Drosophila melanogaster: one gene and its partners. Changing the gene in region 2 together with the main gene of any one other region gives a genetic interaction. Each region holds a gene or a part of one and is shown on either strand. Other genes may lie near its edges.

Region 1 (7,708 bases), on a different chromosome or scaffold from region 2:
GAACATAAATAGCTTAAAAACATAAAACATAACATAGAACAGGTAAGGTAATCAACTTTTAATAAGTTGGATGTCTTGATGGAAGTTCGAAAGTATTTCGAAAACGAGTTCGAACCCCTTGCATTTTCGACTCAAAGACAGGAGAGCGAGTGAGTGAATATCTTGTGAGTATTTGGATTGAGTGGTTTCTTGAATTCCGCCGTTTTTAATCCAGTTGGAATTCTGCTGGTTGGCGGACACTTGTTTCTATATGGGCGATTTGTAGGGGTCTTCAATGCACTTATAATTTGTAATATTGCATAGTATGTATGTATATTTTAATATTTCTCGTCTTGTCATTTTTAAGAACGAATCTTTCTTTGTACTTCATTACTTTTACGAATTTCATCAGTCATTTTTTTTCATGATAATTATAACATGCAGTGATAATTTTTTTAAATTTGTAAGAACCATATATTGAATACTTGTATATTGCATTTTTGTATATAATGGCATAATGTATGTATTAACGAAATTATATAAAAATCCCTTATTGGTTTCCCCAATAATGTGTGGCTAAATTCCCTCACCTTTGTGGGTGGGTTGGCAGTTGGGGGTAAACTAGGAGCAATAAAATGAAATGAGTATTTTTTTCGGGGTGAGTACATTTTTCGACGCCGACGGCGGAACCGAGCATCGTTTTTTGTCTTCGTGTAGTTGGCGCTGCCCTTTCTCTCGGCTCTCCCGTTATTTTCGTTATTTTGCAAGCCGACGACGAAGTCCCCGAGCAGATCCAAGCCCCCAATATTCCCCGTACACCCCATTTACCAACAATTTTCCACCCAAATCCTAACCGCTTTTCAACCGATTTTCCTCTCAGACTGCAGCAACGCATCTGCGACTGCGACTTGGGTTCTCAGTCTCAGTTTAGGTGTAAGCCATAACCCCTTGGAAAATCCCAACCACATCGCCCCTCCCCGCCCAGCAGAAATCATGGGGTTTAGTAGAAAAATAGGGAGTGAGAATACCAAGGGGGTCGGGGGCGTCTGCATTGCACTTGGCGCTTCGATACAATTTGAACTTTTCTTTATGCGAAAATCCCGCAACGGGACTGCAAATTCCAGGGGTTTGCGGAAAAACACAAAATAACGGGAGGCTGAGAAGGGGCTTACTCTCCAATTTAATATTCCATGGATTTTTGAAGAGCCGAACAGAGACAGCCAGCCAAGGGACTTAAGTTAGGAATGCAATTTAAGGTGCATCATAAAGTGGCGGAAATTTGGAAAGGACAGATTGTTTCTAAATGTTACATTTACCTCTAAAAAAAAACATAAAAATTAAATTAAACAACAAAACATAGAATTGTTTGTTGCATTTAGCTTAATTTACACTTCGTATTTACTTTTTTATTTCCATCACTTTCTACTATTGTTTACTATGTTCGAACATTTGATGAATATAGCAGCTGCTTTTAATTCTAAGACTTATCTCGTGGAACTTTTAGTTCTTTAGTTCTTAACTTTAAAACTTATCAGTTTCAGAATAATACTTGAATTCCAGGTAAATCCCCCTAAAGCCAAAAAATATTACAACTTTCCGAAATATCCTCAATCTCAATCCCTCCGCCAGCGTCACAGTCGACGTTGCACTCAATCCTGCGCTCAATAAGCAACAACAACAAGCAGTAGTGGAGAGAGGCGAGCGCCTGGCTCTTTCGTTTCCAATAAGAAAAGCGATGTGCGAGCGGGAGGGCACTAGCCAAAGTGTCTGTGAATGAATGAATTTCAATACATGCAACTGACATGCGACGGCGCAGAAAAATGCTCAAAAATAAGAGTAAAAAAAAAAGCCGAGAAGGAAAGCGCAAAAAAAGTGAGAAAATCAAAAAGCTATTGAAAGAAATCAAAAGCAGTGCACGGGAATTGAGTGAGATTCTCTTGCGCGGAGCGTGAGAGAGCGAGCGAGAGAGTTGCGCTGCATGAGTGTGTTGTGTGTTTGTGGCGCCTCTGTCGCTGCCAACGCCGCTGTCGGCGCTCTCTGCGGCAGAGGGTTGTCGGCGCTTCGTTAACGTTCGATTTGTTCAGTCATCAACAGCATTCGTGACTGGCAACGTCGTTTCGTTCGTCCGTCGCCGAAAGAAATCGAGAATTTCAGAAGATTTTTGGATTCTACTGCCCCACAAGGCAGTGCAGCTTCTTCTTCTTAGCCGCGGCGCGGGTGTGTGTGCGTGTGTGCCCCTCTCTCTCACTGTGTGTGTACGTCGTGTGTGTGTGTGTGCAGAAGAATCCCCCCACCCACTTCATACAAAAAATTCATAAAAAAATAATTGCAAAAGAATGAATCTCGCTTGCCAAGAAGAAGAAACGTATTGATCATATTTATAAACAAAACAGCACACAGCCAAACAAATCAAAAAGGACTAAACGAACGTATAATATAACTGTTTATTATTTTTTTCAAGTGCATTTTTGTTCGCTAAAATATGTGCGCGTGTATGAGTGTCAAGTGTAAACAACAACAGCAACATCAAAAGCAACAACAGCGACAGCAAACATGTGCAAAATAAGCCACAGCCAAAAAGCAACAACATAATGATAATGGCTTGAAAAAATCACACACACAACAACAACAGGCAACAACCAAAACAACAACATCATACCCTCACCATTCAACAAACGACTACAACAAAATCCCCCACACAACAACAAGAAGAAACCCCCTTCCAAAAAAATCAAAAAAAATTCTTTTTCGGAACTAAAGTGAACAAAATATAAAACATAACATAACCATAATAATAATAATAATAACACACAGAAATTGGCTTATTTATGCATTTTTTTGAGCACGTAACAAGAAACATACTACTTAAGGTGTAAATGTGATGACTAAAAACGAAAACCGAATTAAATAACAACTAACTAACAAGTAAAATCGAAACGACAACAGAACAGAATAATGCCAGGCCTTATTAGCCCCAAATTGGTAGAATCCAAAAACTGAAAACCCCAAAAAAACCTAAGCAAAAACTGACTGAGAATTATTGAATTAACCCAAGAAAGCCCACGAATGCAGCCAACATTGCCACAAGCCGCTGGGACAGCCGATATGGATCTGACGGCTGTTCAATCAATCAACGATTGGTTTTTCAAAAAGGAGCAAATTTATTTATTGGCACAGTTTTGGCAACAGGTAAGAAAAGTTAGCAAAACGATGGAAAACGGTGCTTAAAAGCAAGAAGTTTCGTGTTTCAAGAATAATAATATGAATATAGTTCAATGAATTGGCCAAACAAGCTGAGATTACGGGTTCGTAAAATGTTCGGTGCAAAAGTGTTTTATCTTCTGTTCTCACTTTTATTCGCATTGACAAACAGTCTTACGTTTATATTACATGCAAGGTGTATCTTATTTTTGTCAACAAAAAGATGAAATTACACCTGTTATATGTAGCATAAAATTTGATACTTGCGTTTTCTAACTTTATATGAATGAAATGAATTCGATTCATACAGTATTGTGTATTCAAAGTGAAAAGTTTAGGGAGCGTAACGCGAAAAGCCCGAAAGCCTTTAAAACGTTATAAGCTAAAATTAGAACTTTCCATACATTGATTAGACTAAAAAGTCATATACAAATTTGCAATTATCATTGTAACTAAACAGTGAATAGTTCCCGAGTTCTGTGATATTCGTTGCATTTCACTGGAAACTCCCACAGCTGACAACAATAACCCTAGTGCGCCCAGCCGCCCACTTTAACCCCACACAGCCCCCATATTTTGGCCCCGCAAACTGCTTAACTTAACTTAAGTTAACTAATTGAGTTTGCGTGTCTATGGCAAATGTGTTTTTATTGTTGCTGGCCCGTTATTGTTGTCTAATTTCTTGTTGTAAATTTATTTATTTTTTCTGCTATTATTGATTTCTGAAAAAAAATTTGTTTGCACAAAACAAAAACAACAAATGCAAAGTGCAACAAGCAAGTAATAAGTGAACAGTTTATTGCTTGAATAACTTTTTTTTTTTTTGAAGCGTTTTTTTTTCTGTTTTCTACTACCAGTGAACCGAAAAAGATAAAGCCAGACAAGATCGGCCAGACGGAAGAGACAATTCAGATGGGGGTTTCGCTGTAAAAGGGGGCGTGGAAAATCGGGAGGCGGGGGCCAGACGATGCTGAGAATTTCGCTGGCCAAATGCCAGACTCCGAACAAATAAGGCGGCAAAATAACATTAGAGGCCAAAAAGGGGAAAAGAAAATCATCTGCCAGACCAGACATGGAAATATCAACTGCTGTATATATTTTTGAATATTTCTATATATAAAAATACTCTCTATATGGTTTGGCAAGTTAATTAGGTTGCGTCGACAGCCGGGCAAATTTTTTAATTGGAGTTTCTTCTTCGATTGATCGTGAAAAGCGAGAGACGCGCACAGTGAAAGACAGACATGGAAAAATTCCCGGAAAATCTAGACATTTGCCGTCGGTGAATGGCGTTTTTTCCCGCTCCACAAATATTTTTGTACAAGATATGGCGATGCAAACTGCAATCAATAAAACTTAAATAAGCAAAACCAAAAGCTATCCTATCGACTTTTTCCGGAGAACCACAACAAAGGCAAAAAGATGAGAAGCCGCAGAACTCGTTAGGATTACTTGAAGTCAGTGGTGTACACAGGATTTTATGAATGGGGCTTTGCTGATCTCAAATAGAACCGGTTTTTATTTAATTAAATGCATTTGCTTGTTATATTTAAATGTTAGATATGTACATAGTGATAGAGCATAGTGTTGGCGGCCTAAACGAAAACACAAAACCCCATCTAAAGGCGCCACTGTTTTGGGTTCTTTTTTCCTCTTTCCTAACGATCATTTAATGGCTTTCAAAAGCTTCAAGTCTTCTATAACTTTCAAGATCCCTCAACCAATGATCGATTGTGATCAATGAATCAATATTTGAAAGGTTTCGTCATGCCTTCGCATGCTGATCAACAAAACAAAATTAGAACTCGATCCATAAATACCATTTCTCTGCGGCAGAAAAAAAGGTTATTCAACATAACTAAATTTGCCAACCAAAAATAGAAGCTTATTAAATAAATTAAACAAACCGCAGACAGACGTCTACAGCTGTCCAAATGAGTTGATAAAACAATTTTTATAGTATTTCACTTATTTATTTATTTACATTTCAAGAACAGAGCGCGCGCGAAAAAATTGACACAAATCGAATTCGAAAAAGCAACAATAAAAATGTGCTTGATTAACACAAAGTTTTGTCATTAAATATATAGAACGGTGGCACCGAAAAAACGATCACAAAAAATTGAAAAAAAAAACAAGTGCAAGAACAAAAAGCAGAAGCCAAAGAAGAACCAAAAGTTAAAAAGAGCAAAATTAATTTCCGTAATGCAATCTATAAACTTGACCCATTAACATCGAACAGATTTTTTGTTTAGCTTCTACAATTACCGAAATCCGAAAAACCATAAACCGAAAACTAGATGAAAGATGAGGTTTTTGTCATTGATTTGTGCTGATTCAAACTAGAAAAAAAAAAGATGGAAATGGAAAGACAACAAAACCGAACTAATTGCCAAATGCATTTGCTGACTTAAAAAATATTAAAAAAAAAAAAATAGAAAAGTTGAATTGAAAAGATGAGAGTAAATCGAGTTTGGGTTCCGTTTTAATCGAATTGAAACCGGTTTATAGGGTAGTCACCACCACCATAGCACCATCACAGATGCAGATACGGATATAAAATACGAAATGCGGAATACCGGGGACGAGCATTGATAGTTTATAAAGTTTAATTTTCAAAGATGGCGTCCCGGCATTTGCATATGCCGAAAATGAGCAGCCAAGGGTTGTCCCTTAAGCCCTTGGAAGCACACGGATACCTTGTACACATATACGATATCATACCATGCTATACCAAACCATAGATACCATATTGCCAGATACAGTATACAGATAGAGATCAGATCGGTGGACTGAGCGGCGGCGTGTGTCGTATAATTTTTAGCGTTTTAAGTGCAATTTACTCGCTCTCTGGCAGAGAAGCCAGCTAATGAGTCACAGAAACCGAAACGTGGATGAATGGGGGGGGGGGGGTGTTTGAAAAAGGGGTTATACCAAGAATCACAGACCGAATTCAACCACCCACACAGCACACAGATGCATACATATGTATGTAGACACACACGCATGGTATATGAAAATATTTCAGTCAGTTCAATCGTTCGATCGCTGGAAAGATATGTTAATATAATTAAATTAATTTGTCAGCACGGAAATTAAAACAGAAGCGGCATCGGCAGCAGCAGCAGCAAAAACAGAAACCGAAATGTCCATCACATCCACATCGGTACACATACATAGTATCTATAACAAAATGCGACGAACGAATCGAAACGATACTATACTATACCATACTATACTATACTATACGAACCGAACGAAACGAAACGAGACGAATCGAAATGAAAATCGAACAATTAAAAGCTTGTGGTGGGTGGGTGGAGATGGCGATCTGAACCCGAGAACTCGAACTCGATCTGAACTACCACGCAACTAATAATGTGAAATAAAAAATCATTTGGAAATTATTATTAAAAATTGAGTTCATGAACTATGTGTGTCCGTCCCGTCCGTCTATGCCAACATATGTGTATCTGTATCTGTGTGTGCTCGATCAATTTTTATTATGATTATTTGCTATTTCCCTCTCTTTCCGGTTTATGGCATTAATTATGAATAGCCATTGAAGCTAATTGAAGCCGGTCGAATGGAGTGTCCTCATGTAACTTGGGAACTAACTAACCATCAAACGCACTTCAAATTTCCCATCTGATATGTTTAGGCCGTAATTAGCTGATTTTCAATCGAATAAAGCATCGAGCTATGCAATGACCTGAAGTAACTCAGCTTGCAGTCATCTTAATCAATTGAAATTTTACACAGCACTAAAGTGGGCTTTTCAAAGTATGTGGGTTGTGTGTTTGGGCATTTTTTAAAACCAATACGCCAATCTAAATCGCAAGGAGATCAGCTTGTGGTTATCAAACGAATAAATACCTATTAAACCACCCTGATACTTTATATACTCATAGTAAGCACTAAAATAAGTACATATGTACATATTAGTCGTCTTTCAGCTAACCTGATGTAACTCAGCTTGCTGCCATCAAATCAAACTGAAACTTCACACTATCATATAAGTGGGAAAATGGGAGGGGATCGGGGAATGGATCTCCAGCTAAATCGCCACACGGCAAACAGCGACACTAATTGAGCATAAATATCATAAATGCTAAATGCGCTTTGCGTGGTGTGCATCAATTGTCATTGCATCATTAATTCCGCATCTAGACGAACGAACCGAACCGTCTTACAAAAGCTGGCGATGCCAAAAATGAAGAAGCGGCAGTGGCATCAGCGGAAAAGAAAAGATTCGACGGCTTTTGTGTACAACTTAATAACAACTAATTGTCTTTTTATATGCATATATATATATATATATATCGTATGTACATACATATACACATCGGAGGGACATAGGAAAAAAAAAGCCAAACCAAAAACGATTGTGGAGCGGAAAAAAGGGGAAAGGATGGCAAACCTGTCTTGAAAATCTTTGCCTTTGTTTTTTTTTTTTTGTGTGTGCGCTGATGCCTCTTTCATCTTTCAGTTGTCAGTAATTTGTGCAGCTCAATATATCAGTCGATAT
Region 2 (7,585 bases):
GAAAACAAAGACAGAACGGCTACGGAAACTGAGTAACCAACCGGTCGTTCTCTCCAATCATTCAACTAAAACCCATCAATCTGTACAGAGGAACCACACCCAAAATAACCTCGCGGGGGCGGAGGCAATAAAATCATTTTATGTCCATACCCCCAAAGGTAAAATAACACTAAAACAAAAGCTCGCGAGCGGTAGTGCTCTCTACACAGAGTGCAATTAAAGGTGCTTCTTGATTTTTATGCCGCCATAAACTTGCAATCGAAGATCCAGCAGCGTAATCAGGAAAAAGGGGAAATAATTGGGGACTCCAATTTGGCAATGCCTTCACTTGTTACTTGTATGTTTTATTATGCGAGAAATGGGTGTAAAACCCTAATATACCAAGTGAAAATGTTAAAAATTAAATAAGTCAACTGTCTTTATATTAATCTCAATCTCAAATTAATTTAAATATACTTTAAAACTTGCGCTTGGCTTAGCTCCCTGTAATATTTCCTTACTGTGTACAGCAGTTTGCACATTTTAATATATAGAATCGTAAAAAATAATAAATACAACAAAATTCATAAAACCCCCCCCGATAAAGGTGTTCTCCAACGACGGCAGGGCGTTGAATGCGCCGCATCCATTCCACCCTCAAATTCCATTCAGCATATGAAAATCAAATCAGCGAGGGTTGCCATTGTACTATGCAAACAAACAGATGTGCGTGTGAGGGGGACCAAAGCGTGTGTGTATGTGAGTGCTTGTGCTCTTTAGGGAATGGGGGAGGGTAGTTGGGTTGGTTTGGTTTGGTTTGATGTGGCATGGGGGTGCTGCTTTGGCTGGGGCGGTCTTCCGTCTGTCTGGGGTCAATGCACAAAAATGCGTAGAACGTGCTGGTGTCCGCCGATTTCAGCAGGGGTTTTTGGCTTGAGCTCTGCTGGAAAATCGTTCACTTTTCGCACTCACCAACACACGAACCCGAACGCCCGCACGCACACAACCAGGCACCCAGACACACACACACACACGCACTGATGCTGGGGGCTGGCCCAAAAGTTTGTTGACCCCAACGCGAACAGACAGCAATGCGTAGTCGCATATATATTGCGTACAGTGAGCGCCCGCCCGCCGCTTTGGATTGATTTTCAAAGGTGATTAGCCCTTGATATTGGATTCATTCGACTTGCGACTCAAAAGATTGAAAATCCATTCAAACGCATTTGCTGCCCAACGAATAATTACCAATTATTTGGAATATACTTAATATTAATATTAATCATTATATTTCAAATTCAAGTCTAACTATTGAATGTTATTCAAATCGAATATGTTTAACTTCCAAACTTTGAACCAATGTCACACTTAGCATGTATTTGGTATTAACTATGTGCTCCTCTACTCCTAGTTACCACTGTTGTATTGGGAGTTCCTGTATTTCGGGGTAAGATGCGTTCCCCTTTTCTTCGCCGTCGGCCCAGGAGGGTTGATTAGCACCCACCCCACCCATCCGCCCGACCAAGCGAGCGCAGACCTTGAGCCGCCTTCCAACCCAACCTTTCTCCCCGGGCATTAATAATATGGCTGACATGACTATTTATTTATTTGCAAGACACTTTCCCTAATGTTACGGCCGAGGGGTGGGTGGCCAGACGACGGAGGTCCCACCCACCCGGAAAAGGATCAAAGTCAGGAGCATACGACACGCCGTCGCAAGTTCTACATACATTCATATACGTATTTATGTATGTAAGTGGAAACCAACCCTGCCAAAAAAATAAGCCACAACCGGGGGAAAAATGCAAGTTGGACAGAATGAAAAAAGTGAAATAAAGTAAAATGAAATGAAAGCGGCAGCTGTAAAGTTCGACAATAAAAGCGGGAAGCAGCAGGGCGAAAAGGGAAAAAGTGAAACGAAAATGAAACGAAACTAGGCACAGGACATCCACACACACACACACACACACACGGGGGATGCGGTGCGAGTCCTTTGAGGAACCGAGCAGCAACCACCACCACCGAAACAACATCAACAACATCAACTTGAACTCCCCATCCGCAATATGGGCGATGGCAACGGCAACAGACGGCATCGGACACATTTTACGGCTGCCCTACGGCGTATTATGCAAATCCCTCCAAGCGTATTGTGAAAAAAAAAATGCTCAAATAATGCACGAATAAAACATGCATTTCAATTGCGAAAACCACAAGGATGTCTGGGTGGCTTACAGCGCCATTTCCCTTTCAATTCACCTGAAACTAAAGGCCGGAAATCAAGAGCCACTCTCTTTTCGAATTTTGCTGGCTTAAATGTTCCCGGAAGCAGCGGATGTCGAGATTTAGGTAACTTAGTTGAAGGATTCGCTATTCTAAGCCAACATCATAGACTTTAGGCTTATAATCCATGTAGCTTTAATAATCAATAATTAGAACTATTTTTCACACAATATGTGGAATATACAATACATATGTACATACATGTATCATGTATATGTACATACATATGACAACTAAATGATCTACGGTTTGTTATTATATCCTCCTAAAATATGGCTAAATTTCGATACCCGACACAACGAAGACCAAAAACAAGGAAACCCGAACAAAGGCGAAACAAGAGAAAAATGCATGTGAGGTTTTTGTTTGTTTTATGTCTCTCTGCCGGCGTCGCTGCTGCTGCGTCTGGGCAGCGATCACGCACACATAGAGAAGCACACAGAAGAAGGAGGGAGAGAGGAGGGGACTCAGCGCAGCTTCCTTTTGACTGGCTCTTCTTACAGAGGAAAAAATGATGTGGCTGTAAGTATCACTTGTTCCTATAGATCTTAAATGTGCAACCAAGTGATTGTGTGTTATTTAGTATTGGCATTGTTGTAAAATTTATTACATCACAAATTATCAAATAAATTTATTAATGCACTGATTAACAGTAATGGTACTAAACTCGAACCTATTAATCAAATATTGCACTTTTCGGCTTAAAAATTTGTCCTGTTGTGTAGTTACTTTACTTGGTTTTTATGTTGATTTTGGGAATTCTAAAAATGCTTGCAGCTTCATCCTTCTGCGTCTCTGTCTCCTTCTCTTCTCCTCGATTCCCCCCACCCCCTATTCGTGGCCCGCATCGAATGCAGCAGATGACAGGTTTTCGCTCTCCTCCGCCCCCTGCTTTGCTGTGCTCTCCGGCTTTATGGCGCTCCCCACCTCCTTCGTGACTCGCTGCACAGGATGTTGGAATATCACGTCGTCGTGTCCGTGTTCCCGTCTGTTCCTTGTTCTCGTGCTCTTCGTCTTCGTCTTGTGCCATTGCCACTTCACCTTTTTTGTCTGCATTCGAGCTAAAGGGGCTCCCCTTTAGCCCCTTCTTCACCTCAGCTACTCCTTCCACTTCCTTTCGCTCCAAAACTGTCTGTGTATTTTATTTTATTTCGTTTCGTTTGGCTTTCGATGTCTGCAGCATCCTTGGAACTTTCTGGCACAGTGGGCCCAACAAAAATATTGCATGCACCATTGATAAATATAGATAAATGATCGAAAGAACACACCATTGCTATGTTTACTGACAGAATTATTTTCAAAAACTCGTTAAGCATTTATTAATTTACCAATAGAATCGGTAAAAACCTTAGTACCATTATACATAGAATTTTTGTTTTAAAATTCAATTTATAACCTGTCCTTGTCAAGTCAGCACACTGTGTCTACATCGTGGACAGGTATTTTGTACCTCAAGTGGATTATTTGCAATATTCATGGCACAAGGTGGAATATACACCACCCTTGGGAGGACTTAAAATTTCGGGCTCCCCCTCTTTTATAATTTATTTTCACGTGCGCAGCTATACACAAAAAATACTTTTGTATTTTGAATTAATATAATTTTAAAATGGTCTACCGTACTGCATCCTTTTTCTATGCGTTTATTACTTTCTACTAGTTTTCGTTTATTATACGTTGAAAAGATATATTACACACGAGGTGGTGAATTGTTTACGAATCAGCTTCGCGAGTAAATGCTAGGGAAGTTATTTTCTCTATGTACAGGCCATAGATCGCTGTTGCTATGTACATATGTATGTATGAATGTATATATTAGGTTGTGTTTACATACATATTTACATGGGCCCTCTGGATCGTATTCCCAGAACCATTTCGCACTTCTCTTTTTCGTATTCTCCCTTTTTGCCACGATCGTGACGGTTATATGCAGTTCCTTTGTTGTAACCACTACAAAGCCAAAATAATTGCAAACTCAAAAGAAACCCATAAAAGCAAGAATAGAGTTAGCCCAGGAGAGAGAGCAGCCACTTTTTTCGGCCAGGAGAGAGCAGCTGCCTCGCTCTCACTCACACACGAGCCACAAAAACGCCGGCTCTCAATACATACATATATACATACTTAAACTGCAGGCCATGTAAAAACAAAAACAACAAGGCAAAAGGGCGCCCAGCATAATGGGGGAAACGAAATGGAAGAGGAACGCAGCCTAGACTAAATTGCAACAACTGCAAATTGGGGGGAACGCATGGCGCCAAACGAAACGTGAGACAGACTCGCGCGCACTGCCATACATACACGAAAAGTGATTATTACAACACAAGCGCTGCGGCGCGTGGGCGCGAGGAGGGGGAACGCATGAGATAACGGAACATGCTGCCGCATTAGTCACCACCAAAGCACAACAGATGTGTGTACATGTGTGTGTGTCAGCTACCACCGAACAAATGAGTGCAAAGGAGTTAGCAGGATGCCGAGAAGGAAGCGGAGAGAGGAATGGCAAGGGGCAGGGGAGAAGAGCATAGCAACCAGTGGAAACAAAATACAGTGAGTATTGGCTAAGAGCTATTGGGTATCTTTGCAATAAAGTGTTGCATACCCTAGGGAGAAAAATATTTATAAAAATCTTATTGGATTAAAAAACCATACATATTAACGAAATTAAATAAAAAATATTTTTAAAATTTTACTGGAAACTACGTAAGATCATATTTGATTGTATTCAACCTTTTGGTTATATGCATATAAATCGTAAAGTACATGTTAAGAAACCGAATACTGTTATTCTCGTAATTGGTAATTGAAGATGCAGACTGCGAACGTGAATGCAAAGTGCCAATTAGGAAATTTAACAATTTGGAAATAAAAGTCTACATTATTGGCAATAACTAACGAAAAGCAGAACAGGAGGCACAGTAACGAACAAGATAAAGCTTTAGTTGAGCCTCTGAACTGGTATTTTTTAGCCATCACTTCCGCCTTCGCGGGCAACAGCGTCGACGGCACGGCGGCAGAGGCAGCTGCCTGTTTGCAGCTGTGTGCGTGCACAAAAATAAAAGGGCGCATGAATTTGCATAATTTTCGGAACCAGATGGGGGGCGTGGCCGTCAACAAAATTGAAATGACAACTCGAGCTTTTCAATACCGCTTATTTATGTATGCGATGTTATTAATAAGCACATGGTGGGCATTAAACAAACCTGTATTGCAGTCAATTCCTGATGGAAACGGCGAAAAAGCATGTAAAATGAATTGCCGATTCGTCGTTGTATGCGTTTTTCCCGAGTGTCGGTGTTTTTGGAGCAACTTCACGTTGAATGCATTGCGCAAATAATTATGTTTGCCGTTGCAGTTTTTTTGTTTTTGTTTTCTTCGCTCCGCTTCGCCTCTCTGCTTCTTTCCTTGCCGCCTTTTCTGCTGATGCTTTCAAACAAACCAACACTCACACACGTATGCAGAAGGCGGCTTGCAATTATGCTAATGCGGCTGTTTGCGACACTTTTTCTTCTTTTTTTTGGCCGACACCGCACAAAACTGATTTCGCAGTTGGCCCAATAAAATTGGCCACAGAACAAAGCGAATTAAGAAGCAACACACACAATTCAATGCTCTGTCTGAAAACCGCGTCCGTGTCAGAACGCGTCAAGAACTGGAGCTGGTGGAGACATCGGCGCGCTATCGATACATCGATGACGTTACCACGGTATTTATGCATTTACTTAGAAGTAACTCATTTGATTTTCAAGAATTAAAGTCAATGTTGGTATGACACTTGGCACAAGCAAACAGTAGGAATGTTTCAGAAGACATACTCTTTTATACATACACAACTTAAATTTAACAGTTTTTTCGGGAAGATATGGCTAAGTTTTACTTAAATTCAAAATGGGATAGGCATCTCTAGTTTTTAGCTACATTGCATTCCAATTGGAATAAGCCGTCCTTAGCTACTTAAATCGATATGTTTCGATGACTCTAACATCGATTGCCGAGGCATGTGCCCTGCACGTTTTTTGTAAACAAACGAACGAGTATTTGAACAAACTGAAAATGGGAGCATTGGCAGAGGTAGACAATGCATTAAATATGCAATGTGAGTAATTAATTCTTAAATACTTTCCCCAGCTGGCTGGTGATGAGAAAAACGGCGAAGGATCTCGTACTTTTGTGTTCACCAACGAGGGCCACACGCTGGGAAATGCGCTGAAAACGATCATAGCCCGCTACCCGGAGGTGGATTTCTGTGGCTACACGATTCCGCATCCCACGGAGCAGAAGCTGCACTTCCGCATTCAATCCCGTCGAGACAGAGCCATAGATATACTTAAACGGGGACTGGAGGATCTGGAGGGTCTGTGTGATCATACAATCGTTACGTTCGAAAAGGAGATGGCCGAGTTTAATGCAATGAAAGTGGAAAATTAGATATATATGTATAAAGAATACTTAAAACTAAACCACGCTGCGCGCCTTCTTGGGATCGTAGTTGGGCTTGCGTAGATGATGATAGTTTGGCAGGACCTTGCGCAGGAAGTCGATCTGCAGGGTCTGCGATCCCTGCTTGTCGATGGCCTCGCGCTGCAGGCCCTGCTCTCCATAAACAATCGTGTTTTCGGGCAGGCGTTGACTACCATGGATCTTTATTCCAGCTCCCACCACACAACCGCTGGAAACAGTGACACCGGGGCCCACATAGCACTTGCTCTCGAAGACGTTCTTATCGCCAATCTTGGCCGCTTCCACTTGGCAGCCGACTTCAAAGACATTGTGAGTGCCAATGCTCAGGATATTGTTGACATCCCAAACGGCGCCCGGCTCCAAGCGGTGAGCTACGGTGGCATATTCCTCTATGATGCAATTCTCCCCAATTATTATGGGACCTGCGTCGGCGATAACGGTGGCACTCGGATGAACCACACAGCCCGACGAGAAGGTGATGTCACCGCGCAGGCTGCTCTCCTCGCAGACCACCGCCTTGGGTAGGATTTTGATTCTGTTGAGTGGCAATAGTATAGCTGCATTTCGTAAATTAGTTTTGCAAGTACTTATGCTGCAATCACCTGTTTTCCGAGGGCATTTTCTGTTTTCTTAAATTGTTTACGTTTTCTCACGAAGGTGAGAAGGAATTTATATTTATCGATAATAAATGAGGGCTTGCAAATGAGGCGATATATTATAGCCAGATTTAGTTACTTTAAAATATCGGAAAGGTAAAAATAATGATTAAAGACCTTTGCATAAAAAAACCAGATATAACAATAATGACGTCGAACTTTATTGCTCAAAAACCAAAATAATGTTGAATACTCATTTATAAACAATA
Region 3 (7,629 bases), on a different chromosome or scaffold from region 2:
TGGCCATTCGAACGTTTTTGTGCCGGACCAGCCATTGAAAAATAAAACGCGGCCAGCAAAGGGAAATAGAAAGAGACAGATGGTCGGGCGAAGAATGAGATGGAAAATGTGGGGGGAGCGCATCGAAAAAATAGAGAAAAATCAAGCGGATGGCTGGAATTTCATACTGTTGGCTTGGCAGAAGTGTGAGTGTGTTATCCTTTGACAAGGAGCATAAATGTGCGAGCTCCTCTCCAGCGTCCTTTGTACCTTCCGGCTGGGTGGCCAAGTCGATGTGTTGGCCATTTTATTATATTTGCTCTCAGACATTTTTGCCCTAATACGAAAATGGGATTTTAGGATATAAAAATTATGATAGATTACCGTTTCGCTCCCACACACCCAACTGCCATCCACCAATTGCATTTTTTTGCAATCGCTACACACACACTCACTACTATCCTTGTGTTTGTTTACACTGGGAAATTTATTCCAGCACGTTCTTCGGTTCTCTTAAAACTTACTAAAAACGGAAGCCTTTCTATGTGAAAACATCCTTAAAAAAGAAAACCACTATATCTGCTATATGGTAACTTAATACCCATGTTGATTTTTTATGTTATTTTCTCAGTGTTATCCCCGTCACATGCAACTTCGTGGAAATTGCGCTGGCTTAGCTGGGTAAAATCATTTGATGATAAAAGTGGCCCTCAATTGCCTTGTTGCTTGTTGCACGTCGTTGGATCTCCCCTCATCACGTTGTTATTAAATTGCAATGGCAAAAAGTTGAAAAAGCAATATGTGCAAAACATGGTTGAACTGAGCATGTGAAAAGCACTGGACTCGGAAAATCAGCTGACACACCTCTAAAATAGCAATCGCGCGGTTTGAGTGTTGTATTATAAAATGGCAAACTATCAATTGGTCATTGATTTTATTTTCTAACGCAGGTTACAAACATGCATTCCTAAATTGACCCACCAATTTATGGTGAAATAATGTAATTCATAACAAAAGGTGTTATTGTTACAATTATTATTATTATTTGTATTTGTATAATACAAAAGAAACCGTTAATCATAGATAAATAACGGTCGTTTTCAGAACTGCAGCTGGCGCCATCTGTTATTATTTATGAACACTCCAACGCAAACAAAGCTTTTAAGCTTTTATTACATTAACAGTAGCGCCTAAAATTAACGGCCAAATCTAGAGCTTAACGATAGCGCCATCTATTATATTTTAAGCGAACTATCACTTATCAGTAATGTTTTGCAATGCTAGGTTTTATGGTTCTGTTAAACGAATTTAAAAAAATATAAATTATAAAAATTTCTAACTGGAAATTTCCATTCGGAGTGGTTTTTAGTATTTTTTGGAGTTTCGCTTGTATAATCATTGTTATTGTTGGCCTCCTTAAGATACTTTCGTGGTCACTATTGTATGAACTAGATAGAATGAATCGAAATTTTAACAAACTACGATGTTATCTGTGGTTTTTAAAATACATATGTAGATAAGTTAATAATGGTATAGCGACATTCTTTGTTAGTTTTATATGCACACTTTACTTCAATAATCCAACAATTTTCTCGTATATGTCGATAATACCAATATTAATGCAGCCACGATTCCGCCGTATGGTTTTTTTTTACTGACTTAACTGAAATTACAATTGACCCTGGCAGCAATTGAAATCGTGTTGCAACTTTTCATACGACACTTTCGCAAATTTTAGACAGTAAACACAAGCCGACACTTCAACAATAAATTCGATATAGCAAACCAAACCCAGTAATTAATGTGTGTCATATTTGCACAATTGAACAAGATCTTTGAACATTAGTGCAATATATATTATGATTTCAACAGACAGCAGTGCAATAAAGCAAATCTAATTAAAATTCGAGTGCCACCCAGGCGACAAATGAAACAGCGGTAAAATCATTAGGTGATAAAATCAGAGTCAAAAGGCGAAAAAAGCCTAAGGATCCACCACACCGACTACCGAGTCCCCTTCCCCATCGTTTCAACTCAGTGCATTTGAAATGACCCGGAATTCATTGGATTTATAAATTTTTCTTCGCCACTTGCCAAGTGCAGCCGACTGGGACGCGATGGTCAGCAATCGAGTTGCCTTCTTTGAAAGCTGAAATTATTATTTTTTAATTGGCCAGCAACAAATTGCTTCATGCATTTGTGTGTGCCGCCCAGAGGTCACTGCGATTAACCAACCGCTCAGGTTTTGTGTGACTCCAAGTGAAGTACAACTCAGCGCCAAAGCTTCTCTAAGGCTGCAACGATTAATCAAATACGGTGAAACCCCGAAATGAAAGTCTTGCTAGATTAAAATTAAAAAGAGAATACAAACAAACCCATTTTTGTATAGTCCTTTTGTAAAGCATAAAAATTTACAAATTATAGTTAAATAAAACAGCAGATTACCTAATATCAACGTTAAATAGTGTTTAAAGTTATTGATTTTTATATAAGAAATAAACTAAAAACCTATTAAAAATGCATTTTAGATTTCATCCTTTTTAGCGAGGGGCCACTGTAGCCGTCTGGGCCTACCAAAGTGACTCAGTGGAGCAAATGTCGCGTGCTGCCTGCGTGCGGGTGCGAGCGGGAGGGCAGCACCGGACACTCTCCTTCTCCTTCTCCTTTGGGCCGCCCGCTGCTAGCAAGTTGCCTCCGGTGTTCGCAGAGCCGCGATTTCAGCGCGAGTTCAGTTTTTGATTCAGTTTCAGGCGGTTCGGAGTTGCTAAGTCAAGCGCAATAGCTCAAAATACACTTTTTTTAATTTTTGTTAATAACTGTTTTTAATAATTCCGGTGAAACATCGCGTGGTCAAGCGAACTGAGTTAATTTTCGCGTTAGAAAAGTTCACAAGTTTTGCGTTTACCAAATAATTAACTATAACTATTTAACTGGAGCTAATTTAACTGAAATTTAGAACCCAAAATGGGTAATTCCAGTTCCATTTGCGCCGATCGCAATGTCATAACAAATTTCGATGAAAATGGGTAAGAAATGAAATGGAAAAGTGAACAAACTGAAGCTGAACTCAAGCGATTGGCAAAAGAGGATTTCGAAAATGCGAGAGTTGGCCAAAGAGTTTGTGTTTACTAATGCGCAAACATGTTTGTAATTAATTTGTTTATTTTTATTGTTACTAAAAACTAATAACTGAAAGATTAGGAAATTATATTTTACATAAAAAAGTTATTTATAAAAAACCATTACAAATTCTTAACATTTTTTGTTTCGATACTTAATATATTTAAGTAGATCCTTTCCTGCAACTACAAGTTTTTTCTTGTGCAAATGCAAGCCAAGCCACCGCCCTCAGCCCCGCCCCTCCAATAATTTGTTTCTCGAGGTGTCATTAGTGGTCAATGATTCGTTTTACTAGTGTTTTATCAACGATTTACAGGCGACTCGTCGGCGTTGCGATAAAAAAGAATAACTTCTGACACACGCCATCGATAAAAAATTAGAGCACCACCTTCTTAATTAACGATTTTCGAAGTAAAAAGAAAAAAAAAAGTTAGAGCGACAGGTGTGTTTTGCTCACGAAGGTACTTGGAAAATGTAATTCGTTGGCAAAGCTGAAGTAAATTGTTAATATTTATGAAGGTTGCTCGGGCACACACACAAACATGTGTGATATATTCCAATTTATTCGCCTGCCGTGTTTTACTTTCAATTTTTGTGTAATAATTGAATATATCAAACAGACATCCGAGCAAAAGCGGAACGGGCCCACCGGTCGTATGAGTGAGTCAAGTGCAAAGTGGGGCGGGAACTGAAGCGATTCGGGACACTGAAGGTTAAGGTTGGGGTTTGGGGCTTCTACCTTGAGGCGTCTCTTTAAATAATTTATACTTAGTCAGATGCCACAAGTTCAGGAGGTATTATTGGTTTATATTTAACGCCATCGAGTCTAATAATCTCTAATAGAAAAGGTTCGGTTTATTTAATTCAAGTAATGCACGCACGTTGTACTTAAGTTTACATTAAAATCAAAGCTACTGATTATAAATAATAGTAGATAAGAAATTGCTAACTGCAATACTCTATAGTCTAATTTGAATACTATTATTTCGACCGCTGCTGTTCTCACGGAAACTTTTCGCATGCTATTCACGCCGCATCGCAATGTTTTCCAGGTCCCAGACAAATGATTTGATGGTAATAATCGTTGTTTAATGGCGTTTATATGTGCAGATAGTGTTTGCACCGCCCTTATCAGTCAGCTGATATACCCCACACAACTGAAACTAATCGGAGAGAAAGAGCCAAAGAGCGCGGAAACAAAACAAAATCGCAAAGTGTATACATATGGTGGTAGCAAAACAAATCGAATACTGCGGTTCAGTTCAGCACGAAAGCTGCAGCAACGCAGACAAAAGTCAAATACTCAGTGAGATAATTGTCGGCAAATCAATATACTAATAAGTATATAATATAGAAGACTTTTAAGAGCACCGCCATGTACTCGATCCTACGACGCTGTTCTGGTATCAGAAAAACTTTTGGACCGTGAGTCGAATGCAAGAATTTCAGAATAACAAGTATAATGTGGTGTCATACGATTGGACCACAGATCAAGAGGGTGTGTTTCTGAATTGGCAATAATCAGTGTCACTTTGGCACCACTTATCGGTTTCCATCTGGAAGGCGTGTCTGCGATGCATCGCCTCATCATATGACCATGCACATACGTTCAAACATATCAGCGCATTTCAAAGGTTCTGAAAACCTTGATAAGGAATCTGAAACGAAGAGTACCCACCCTTTAAGGGCCTCTTTTAACCCTAAATACCATTTTATTGCTCTACGACTTTTTGGCTATTACAAAAAGCTTTTTATGGTGAAATTCATATATTATTATATACTGTTATATAATATACTATTCAAATAAGATATATATACTATTAAAATGTAATATATATATTATTAACAATTGTTAGTGTGGGAACGTGGAGTGTGTACGATTAAAATTCAATTAAAAATGTTAACATCGGTTCTTTCAGAAAGAGTATCCGAATGTTGGTGACGAATTGGTTGTTATTGTCACTCCCGCATTGACATTCATTCACATATTGTCTGCTCTCTCTCTCTCCCTCAGCACGCCGGTTTATCCCACCGCCAACAATTCGCAGAGTCCTTCCTCATATAGTCGCGGCAAAGAGCGCGAGCTCGGCTGTTACACGAAGAGAAACAGCAACAGCAACAACAACAATAGCCATGAGAGAGAGAGTCAGAGCTGTTGTAGTAGTCGTGTGTGTAAAAATCATACGACCACAACGACAACCACACTCGAATACGAACTTTCCAATTTCGCAAAACTAACGACACGAATCACAACGCAAAGTGCCGCCGAAGTGGACACATCGCCGCATACGGATACGGAAACGCATAGGGACAGAGATTCGAATCCGGGTAATATAGCCTTAGCCACCGATTTGGAACTGCCCAAGGGTCTGCCGTTATCGTTATCCTCGCGACACCACTGGAATCAGCTGCAGAGCAGTTTGCACGCCCTTCACCACCAGCAACAGCAACAACAACAGCAACTACGTTCATACAGCTCCACTAGCGAAACAAATTTGGAAGACAAGATGAGCAAACCCGATTCGAAACTAGATAAATACGCGCAGCGCGATCGCCTGGGCCTTTGGGGCACTGGTGACAATGAGGTGGTCGGCAGCCTCTCCGGATTCACCCGACTCTTGGACAAGCGCTACTCAAAGGTGAGTTCCACAAGTAGGAATATGCGAATACGCTTTTAAGTTGCCCAGTTCCGTGAACTTAGTGGAAAAATACCAGGCAAAGGTTTTTAAGGGTGGGTTCGCATTCGGTTTTTTTTTCCGCTCCCCATATCGGCGAATTGTGTTAGTGAACCGTGTTTGGGTAAATATTTAGAGGTAGAGTCATAATTATAGACTATTAGAAGAAGTTTAATTGGTCTAGAATTTGAAGAACTTAAGCCTTACCTTAGAACTTACCTTAGCCATCCATATGTATCTGAAAGATATTTACTAATAATCGTTAATTATGTGAAATTTCGCTAGAAGTGAGTTCCAATGTTGGAATTTCTTCTTGAAAAAGTGTGAATTTATTCTAGGCCACCTGCTATTTTTACCACAAGCACGAGAATAAAAAAATTCCAAATCATAAATACATAAATAACTATTAGGCGGAAACGTCAGCTGCTGAGTTCAGAGCGAAAAAAAGATACTTTTTGGCAGTGGCTTCATTTTTCGGCAAGTGGTGTGGGTGACCTTTAGATGACATAGCGAGTGAAAGGGATGGCAAATGGCACACGCGCCACTCTGGAAGACCAAAGCTCATTGTTTTTGTCAGTTTTTTTTGTTGCTTTTTTTCATTTTTTTTCTGGTGCCTTAGCCGAAGAAAATCGATAGACCAACTTTTATAATTGAGGCAATTAGCTGTCTGTGGCACATGCCGAAATTGTACGGTATGAAATAGTTGACACGAATCGGTCACGCAGATTTCGTTTACAAATTTATCTCAGATTGCATTTTCAAGTTCAATGCTTGTGCAGTTTTTCAGCTTGCATTGGCTTCTACGCTTTTTTCCCACGCAGACATGAATGAGCTAATGCACGAATTGTTTCACAAAATATAAAATTAGAGAGCATTTTTGAAAGAGAGAAGAGAGAGCGCGCATGGGCTTTGCGTTTGTTTATTTAAAACAGTTGCACTGAAAAAACAGAGTTTTAATGTAAAGGTGGTAATGGTTAGAACGGATATTACAATTTAAAATGCTAGGAATCTAAAGAAATTACGTAATTTCTAGTAAAGACATTATTTTCCCCCGTGTAGCTACTAAAAAAAAAAACTGACCAAAAGGGGCCAACCATTTGGCATTGTAAACAGAAGCTCCACTGAGAATAATGGAGGGCCATCCAGAATGGTGTTTCCCCATGACAACCAAGTGGATTTTTTTCCCGCTTACGTCACGGCACAATCGGACGAAAAGACTTAAAAATAATAATTTAACAATTTAGCGAGAAATTATCTTGGGTTTCCTTATCGAGTAGGGGCTGGCACTTGTTTACTACAGATTGTTATTATGTACTTCTTACACGCTGCCAACAAGTGACTCTTGTTTATCTCAACCTCCTTCCCCGAACAGCTGAGCTTTGTTTTGATTTACCCATGGAAAGTTTTCGAGTGCCTATCTCCAATGAAAAAAATAAGAAACAAAATTAAAGCCAGTCCGCGAAAACTGACCTACATTCAGCAATAAATTTAACTCTGTTTCGAACCGCAGAAATAAACAACCGAATGACGATAATCACCACAAAAACACTTGGTATCAGCCCTATATATGTATATACACACATTAAATATTTATCTGTGTGGTTTGCTCACACCACATGCAGTTGGCGAATAGAATTATATTCCCCTGCTCTTTGTTGTTATTTATTGGCGCTCTGAGGAAATTAAAAATTTAAACAAATTCAGGCGGTCAATGTGCCGAAAGAGCGGGGCGAGCTCGAAACTTGTTGAAATAGTTGGATTATTTCATTGTTTACCCAATGATTTATCGATTGCTTATATTGGGCAACTAAAGAAAGAATAATATATAATAGTGTGCTTGTCAATTGCAATTAAT

Evidence for each region. A genetic interaction does not mean that the proteins touch.
Region 1: of brat (region 2) and ct, changing one suppresses a phenotype caused by changing the other (phenotypic suppression), as found in Drosophila melanogaster (one study listed by BioGRID).
Region 3: of brat (region 2) and Men, changing one suppresses a phenotype caused by changing the other (phenotypic suppression), as found in Drosophila melanogaster (one study listed by BioGRID).

What each region holds. Positions count from the first base shown.
Region 1 is NC_004354.4:7,606,371-7,614,078, forward strand, and holds the start of ct (cut), read left to right. Parts: upstream 1-2,777; 5' UTR 2,778-3,045; coding exon 3,046-3,168; intron 3,169-7,708. UniProt on the Drosophila melanogaster protein: Regulator of cell fate decisions in multiple lineages. Specifically, functions as a determination factor that specifies sensory organ identity in precursor cells. Probably also involved in cell type specification of Malpighian tubules.
Region 2 is NT_033779.5:19,132,154-19,139,738, reverse strand, and holds the start of brat (brain tumor), read right to left. Parts: upstream 5,918-7,585; 5' UTR 5,463-5,917; intron 4,810-5,462; coding exon of another isoform or gene 4,759-4,809; exon of another isoform or gene 4,506-4,758; intron 1-4,505. Other genes in the region: Polr1D (RNA polymerase I and III subunit D), read left to right, coding at 4,759-4,809, 5,918-5,965, 6,388-6,687; DCTN6-p27 (dynactin 6, p27 subunit), read right to left, coding at 6,715-7,255, 7,323-7,339. UniProt on the Drosophila melanogaster protein: A NHL-domain family protein that functions as a translational repressor to inhibit cell proliferation.
Region 3 is NT_033777.3:12,717,512-12,725,140, reverse strand, and holds the start of Men (malic enzyme), read left to right. Parts: upstream 1-2,698; 5' UTR 2,699-2,943; coding exon 2,944-3,005; intron 3,006-4,356; exon of another isoform or gene 4,357-4,474; coding exon of another isoform or gene 4,475-4,524; intron 4,525-5,113; coding exon 5,114-5,738; intron 5,739-7,629.